Linked DNA regions of Caenorhabditis elegans. The protein of the gene in region 1 purifies or fractionates together with the protein of each later gene. This does not show direct contact. Each region holds a gene or a part of one and is shown in the gene's direction. Other genes may lie near its edges. The genes, in order: F37A4.5 and T14B4.3.

Evidence for each region.
Region 2: the proteins of F37A4.5 (region 1) and T14B4.3 fractionate together in Caenorhabditis elegans (co-fractionation; one large-scale study listed by BioGRID). This does not show direct contact.

What each region holds. Positions count from the first base shown.
Region 1 is NC_003281.10:6,709,736-6,713,802, forward strand, and holds F37A4.5 (Mov34/MPN/PAD-1 family protein), read left to right. Parts: upstream 1-2,133; 5' UTR 2,134-2,208; coding exon 2,209-2,291; intron 2,292-2,337; coding exon 2,338-2,580; intron 2,581-2,694; coding exon 2,695-3,253; intron 3,254-3,298; coding exon 3,299-3,373; 3' UTR 3,374-3,456; downstream 3,457-4,067. Other genes in the region: Chromatin-remodeling complex ATPase chain isw-1, read right to left, coding at 1-101, 197-265; Ankyrin repeat-containing protein F37A4.4, read left to right, coding at 3,970-4,042.
Region 2 is NC_003280.10:6,733,093-6,736,924, forward strand, and holds T14B4.3 (VWFA domain-containing protein), read left to right. Parts: upstream 1-1,844; 5' UTR 1,845-1,857; coding exon 1,858-1,894; intron 1,895-1,935; coding exon 1,936-2,067; intron 2,068-2,114; coding exon 2,115-2,737; intron 2,738-2,784; coding exon 2,785-2,883; 3' UTR 2,884-3,018; downstream 3,019-3,832. Other genes in the region: T14B4.9 (Core-2/I-Branching enzyme), read right to left, coding at 1-90, 138-447, 506-691; mrps-18.C (28S ribosomal protein S18c, mitochondrial), read left to right, coding at 3,112-3,327, 3,379-3,471, 3,519-3,629; T14B4.1 (tRNA/rRNA methyltransferase SpoU type domain-containing protein), read left to right, coding at 3,815-3,832.

The sequences.
Region 1 (4,067 bases):
TCCGTTTTTTGTAACAATCTTTCAAATCTCTTGAAGGAATCGGCGGCGTCGGACGATTCCGGTTCATCGTCCACTTCCATTGAGGGATCGTTCCCGGAAGACTGAAACGTAGAATGTAATGTATTGTTTTATGTGAAGAATGTAAAAAATATCTTTAATAAAACGCAAAACCTATGTACATCAAAAAATTATTTACCTCCGGGATGTTGGAATCGGTGTCCATAGGCTCGTCATTTATTTCGTTCGAAGACTCGTGAACCGACATTTTCTGTGACAATCACCAATTAACAACTGTACAAATTACCTCGGGCGTTTACAGGTTTGATAAAGAAAACATTTATAATCGAACAAACCGATAATTCTAACAAAAACGTGTGAAAAAGGTAACCAGCGCGCGAAAATGAGGCAACCAGAAATTGAACAGCATTTTCGCGGTTCTCAGTGGATACGCAGACACGGCGACGCGCAAATACACAGAAAACTAATAAATGCGCGCGAATTTTAAAAATAGATGCTTGCCGGATTTCTACAGTAATCAGTTTAAAGAACTCATTGAAAAGTTTTATTCGAGAATAAAAAGTTGTACAAAAACAAGCTGTTTCTTTATGCTGACCCCGTATTTCAAATCTATGAGAAAAAGAAGGATGCTTTGAATTGTAAATCGATAAATCAGAAAGTCAATCGATAAATGTCAGCCCCTCACTTAATTCGCAGAAGAACAATATTTACAAATTCAAAAATGGCTGCCACACTTCGTCAACGATGTTTCCATCGGCTTCCACTATTTTGCGCCTTATTATCTGTTATGCTCAGTGAGCATAACAGATAATAATAACAGATAATAATAAGCATTGCTCACCGCATTTTTATCCTATGACATTTTTGAATTAAAGAAAATTGTTCCAACATATCTAATTCCGATATACTTTCTACTTCATTTTGTTCCTTTTTACATTCCACACTGCCTTGTTCATTTTGGATTGACAAAAATTAGACAAAAACCATGGAAGTTTATCGCAAGTCACGTGGGAGCAGTAATTGTAAATTTAGTAATTATTTTTGTGGTGGTGAGCACAACTTTTTATAAATCTGTGAGTCAGAATAATTGTTTTGTTTGATATACATCCCTAGAAAGCGTTTGAACCTTCAACAAGGCTATATGTCGATTTACGCAGGCTGTGTACTCCTCGAGGAGAAGTTATACTTTTTGTTGAGAATTTGTGGTCTAAACTCCTCATTTTCACTACTTTTGAGAATTCTTTTTGAGTTTTGAATTAAAATCATAATTTATTTCTTAATTATAGTGCGGTAAGCCAAAAATCAAAGTACCCTATTATAGTTTCATGCACTTTTCAGAAGGGTTTTGCCTAAAGTTCTTAAAATCTACACATGGCCGTCTTCGACGCTTTTTACGGCCATTCATTTTCAAACGAGAGAGAATTTGGAAGCTTGTGACCTACTATCAATAATTATTTTCAGATCTACCTGCTTTGTACCTTGTATCCATTATCAATACTCTCCTACACTACAGCTTTGGGAATTCTCCAGCCTCATCATAACCTCCAACTCTCAGTTTCAACAGATAGGCGTTTTTCTAATTCATTGGCCTTCTCGAAATCAACTCTAATTACTGCGTTCTACACGTTTCTCGTCATATTCATTTTCTTCTTTCCTATGAAAGTATTTGAAAATCCAAACCAACAAAAGTTGAGAGAAATTACATTAATTCTTCTAGAACTTTTGAACTTTTCTCTTATTGTTATGACCTATAATACTTTGATTATCATGTCAGTGAATGTACTCACATTCGTTGGAAAGCATGTGGTCACTGGAGTAGACTGTGTAAGTCTTAAGACTAGTCTTCTTGTTAAGCTAGATGACGGGAAGTGGATTGGAGACGTTGGGATCTTGGAACGATGTTGATTTGTTTATTTTTTTTAATAATTGTTACTTGCTTTGTTTTTTTGTAAAATAAATTAACTGAAAATTCTCCTGTGTAAGAATTTCATGCTTCTCAAAAACACAACAAAAAACATTTCACGCGGAAAATAGTTCTCGCGTGACCTTTGCCACACACTCTTCCGACCCACGTCATCCACGTGGCAACGCCGAGACTTCTTCCGAAACTCTTTTATTAACATATTCTGCTTCGCATGTTGCTTTCGATTTTTTTGTTCGTGCTCAATAGAATAGAAATTTCTGAAAAAAATGGATCGTCTTATCCGTTCGTTGTTGATGAATCAGAACAAGCAGGCAACTGATAAACTTGATCATCCGGACACTTCTGAAACGTAAGTTTAAATTTTTTATGGATTCCAGAATTTGTTGAAATTTCAGAGTGAACATTTCCTCGTTGGCTTTGCTGAAAATGCTGCGCCATGCTCGTTCTGGAATCCCGTTGGAGGTGATGGGTCTGATGCTCGGAGACTTTGTGGACGACTACACTATCAATGTTACGGACGTTTTTGCAATGCCGCAGAGTGGAACCAGTGTGACCGTGGAATCGGTGGATCCTGTGTATCAGACAAAGCATATGGACTTGCTGAAATTGGTTGGAAGAACTGAAAATGTTGTTGGATGGTGAGTAAAGGGGACCCAAGAATATAGGCAATCTTTTAGAATCTACGACGCAGCAGATATAGTTTTCAGTTTTTATAATCAAAGCCTCTATTGAAATTATATAACAACTTTCAGGTACCATTCGCATCCAGGATTCGGATGCTGGCTATCTTCTGTGGACGTAAACACTCAACAGTCTTTCGAAGCTCTCCATCCCCGTGCTGTTGCAGTTGTCGTTGATCCGATTCAGAGTGTGAAGGGGAAAGTTATGCTGGACGCATTCCGATCTGTAAACCCACTCAACTTGCAAATTCGTCCTCTCGCTCCAACTGCTGAACCACGACAGACTACTTCCAATCTTGGACATCTCACTAAGCCATCGCTAATCTCTGTTGTTCATGGTCTTGGCACCAAGTACTATTCGTTGAATGTCGCCTATCGCATGGGGTCGAATGAGCAGAAGATGTTGATGTGTTTGAATAAGAAGAGTTGGTATGATCAATTGAATATGTCAACTTACTCGGAGCTTGAGAAGAAGCAGGAGGAGAAGTTCAAGAGCATCAACAAACTGATTGCAGTCTTCAATAAGGATATTGACGAAGTTAAGGAGAAACCAATTGCAGATAAGAAAGGAAAGACTCAAGAAGAAGTCAAAAAGTTTGGAAAAATCAATGCAAAACAGCAATTGCAAATGGTAAAAATCGAATAAACGTACAGTGAAAAAATGTTTTAATTTCAGATCACTTCTAGCCTTCTCAACGATTCCCTCTGCCATCAGCTTACTGCAATGATCAACGCAAAATCAATGACATGAACTAGCAACAATTTAAATTGTGTTTCTGAATGACGTTCTTCCCATTTCCATATCACATTCAAATCAATAAATAGAATCATTGTACAGATCTTATCTGACTGCCCTCCTCATCTGCCTACTTACTACCTATTTTCTCGATTCAGCTGAATTTCGGTGTTCCATGTTCGCCCAGTACAGATATTAATTGTATAGTTTGTTGGCAGTGCAATTACACATTTGAAGAACCTGTTTGTGTGGTAGGCAGGTAGGCATACGTAGCCTTGACGGAAGTCAGGAATTTTTGTGCCTACTGCAAAGAATGGGCACTTTCATAGATAAAGTTCTTATCAAAAACAAAACATAAAACCCGTGAAAAATATAGAACTTCCTTCCGAGGTTACCATTTACGTGTTCCAATAACCTACTAACCTTGTTCTCTTGTTTTTGCTACATTTAGACTTCACAATCAATTCAGATTTTCAACAGCTTCACAGAAAGCATCCGAGGAGATCCGTAAGTTATACCAAACCAGTTTCAGCATGATTTGGCAAAATGTGCTTCAGTGTCGGTATTCAAAGTGAGACGTGTACTAGGAAGGAAATAAATAAGAGATTCGCATGAAGCTTTGTCACGCTATATTTTCAACTTTTGTTGTATTCTTTGTGGCTAGTGGAGCCGGAGAAAAACAAGGTAAATTGAAAATTTCTGATTGATT
Region 2 (3,832 bases), on another chromosome or scaffold:
AATCCCAATCCGGTAATTTTACCATCTTCTCCATGCATTTGTAGTGTGCTAAATTCATATTATGACCCGCTGAATCTATTCGAAGTTCTTCTGAAACTCTAGTTAATTTAAATTATACATATATTCAATCAGTATACCATCTATTACAAATACATTTGGAAGACATCTACCAAGTCTCCTAATTCTCCATTTAAAATCATCTTTGCTTTTTGAATCAATGAAAAAGCAAAATATATTCTGTGGATGATATGACATTTGTACTTGTTTCTCCAAAAATTCATAGTCTTTATAGACAACTCGTGCAAATACAACACCAATTTTCAACGGCCTCAAATGAAAATTGAATGGAATAATTCGATTTTGAATTGAATAACATGACATATCTAAACTCTCCAAATTTGAGCTCAGGGGTATTCGATGCTCACCAATAAACTTTTCGATATAAGACTGAAATTTTATGTTTTTGGGTTATTTTTTAAACATTTAAATATTTAAAATTACTAACTCTATCATTTGCCAAAATTCTTCCACAATCCAAATGAGCTGTCTCTTTGCGTCTCCATAATATATTAGTTTCCTTTGAAGTCCAAAAACTCATTGTTATTCTAGGTGCCATTGAAAAGATCACAATTGTACAAACAAGCATTGTGAGTAATAAGAAGAAGAAGGTCCTGGAGTATTTGGAGCACATTTTGGAGAAAACGGAAAAGAATGGATGACAGATGGAAATGAAAAGAGAAAGAATGAAGAACCAGAGCAGACATTGGAAAGAATCCAAACATTTCATTCATTTCAAAACATTTACATCCACTTGGGTCTCACACTTTCTTTTTTTGATCTTCAAAAGTTGAGGGTTCTTGAGGGTTATAAATTAGTATTCAAATATTTATTTTTGTTTGTTAAAATTGTTTTTTTTTGTTGTTTGATCGAGAAAAGTACAGTCATATTTACAGATGGTAATTTGTTTAAATGGATACCTTCGCATTGCAGAAAACAAACTAAACAATTACCGTTTTTGAATTCTGGAAAAAATAAAAAATTGCTCTCATTTTCCTATTTGTGAAGGCATTATTCCTTGTTTAAAGTTACATTTTTCATAAATCTATTTGTAATATTTAGAATCGAGGAAATAGTTTTGAATCTTCTCATCTTTTATCTATCTATCAAATTGGTAGTTACCAGTAAATCGAATAGCCTTGAACTATAAAACTGGTAATTCTTAATAAGGAAACTAAAAGGTATTCATCCTTATATTTATCTAAGATTTTACTTCCCTCCGTTTAATTCAATTTTTTTCAAAAAGTCACCTTTTCAATAGCCGCATCAATTGTGCAATAGGTTCAACAGACAATATAGTTTGATTGGATAACAATTTGTACCGGAACAAACTGAGAAGATAACCCTATCATATTGGATTGACCCACCCTTTTTATCAACAAGCAAGTGAAGGAAATTTATTGCATGTTCGTTTTGAAGGAAAATATTCATTGCTACAAGTTATTTTTATCACAATCAGTGAATAAAATTAAAAAAAGATATGTATTAATTTTTTAAGCAAAAATATACTTCAAAATTCAATTTCATTATCATTTCTGCGCGCGGAACCAAAAAATTTGACAGTTTTCTTCAAAACCCAATAAATATCTGCCTTTAATATTTTTGTATACATAGATGAAAACTTTATCAATAAAAGTTTTGGCAAAAAAATACAGTAACCAATGCTGATGAAATCAACTTCCACGGAGTTTCAAGTTCTCTTGGTTTGTGGTGTCTCAACGAGAAAAGCAAACGCGCTCCATTGTTACAGAAAAATTGTGAGTTTTTTATTTCTCATTTTTGCTTCTTTTCAAGCCAAAAATGCGAAGTTTTATATGGATTTTATCATTTTTACAAGGTAATTTCTTATTTATTTTTTGCAAAAAACTTCAATTTCAGTTTGCCTTGCCGGGCGTCTTCAAATCATTTTGCCAAACGACCACATACTTGATTCGAGAAATTCGTCTTTCGATTCAGTTTCATTATTAAATTTCAACAAGAATGCTTTTGGACTTGGTGCTGCAGTTGGAGGTAGGTAACATTTTATTAATATAAAATGTTTTATTGCCTTATTTCAGCTCATCAGGCGATCGGCGATGAAAAATTGTTCCAAAAACCGAAGGCGTTGTTGATAATCGTTATTGACGGACTGGAAAACTTTGATTATGACGGACATGCTTTCAATTTTACGGATAAATTCCAGCCAAATCAAATTCAAGAACATTTCAAACAACAGTTTGGTGATGATATGATTCACGCCGAAGTAAACTCCTCTGGAATATTTGGATCATCGTTGTTTAAAAGAAATACTGAGGGAAACCATGCTAATTACGATACTTATAAGGAGGATCTTCAAAATATGTATCGACTTTCGGATGCAATCATGGAGAAAGATCGAAAAAATGCCAATGTTGTTGACTACTACCGTGTTCACCTTGACGTCTCCAATGCGCGAACAGATATGGAAAGAAAACAATTGGCAGAAAATATCAAGCGAGGTATTGATACATTACAAGATGCTATCAAGAACAGTTATGGCGGGAATGTGGTGGCTGAAATCTATACTCACGAGAAGCCTGATAGAGATGAGAAGGCTAGAATTAAGCTGTTACAAAAAGTATTGCAAGTGACTCAAGCTAGATATATCGATTATCCGGCAAGTGCGGCCATTATGATGTTTGTGGGATTCTCCCTTGTCTTCGTAAGTCCCATGTTAATTCATTCTTTCTAATAAAAAATTAACTTCAGGCGGCAGTTGCGATGTTGTGGTTGATGTTTGATGAAAGTGATATGGCCAAGAAAACGATCCTGGTTCGACTATCGATGGGTAGACAGAAGAAAGATTAGAATTAGATTTATAAATGATTGTAAAAACTGTATTTTCATAATTTATTTCGCTTTACGGCTTTACGGTTCTTTTTTTTGCATTTTTGACTAATCGCTTTCCGGTATTTGTTGCCATGTCATAAAGACTTCAGCTTTATGCATTTGAAACACTATCAGTGTATCAGGTTCTAAACCTTAAGATATCTCATTTTTAAATTTATCAATGCAATCCAACAGTATCAATTCAGAATGCTAAAATCGGCGTCATCGTTGGTGCGAAGTTTCATAAGGCCGCAGACATTCAGGTTATGTAGCTCCAGTTCAACCACGCAGGGATCTCCTTCGGTTAGCTCTGACGATGAGCCCGTAATTTTGGAGAATAATCCATACACAAAAGAGCCACGGAAGTGCCTCTTGTGCTCAACTGGTGTTGAACTCGATTACAAAAATTCGAGACTTTTGCAGGTACGAAATGTTTTAAACTGGAGCTCGGTAAAATCCAATTCTTTTTTTCAGCAATTTGTTTCCACATTCTCTGGGCGTGTATACGATCGTCACATCACTGGACTTTGCGACGAGAACAAGAAGAAGCTGATTGAAGCAATCGCGGTATGATGAACTGGAATAGAGTTAGATAAACGATATTCTTTATTCAGAAATCGCGTCGTGCCGGGTTCATGCCAATCTTCGTAAAGGATCCAAAGTACACCAGAGACCCGAAATTGTTCGACCCGCTCAAACCAATTCGACCACATTCGTTTGCTTAAAATATTTTGTTTTTTTAAAATTACTATTACTGTTTGTTTTTATTTTTAGAATATAAAATTTTCTCTAGACAATCTGTTTCTGTGAATAGTCATCAAGTTAGTGGATACTCCTGCCCACTTTAATACCGCTGGTGATACTAATTAGTAAAATTTTATTTTACTTAAAATTCAACTATTTTTAGATTATGGGCGATGCTGAGAGC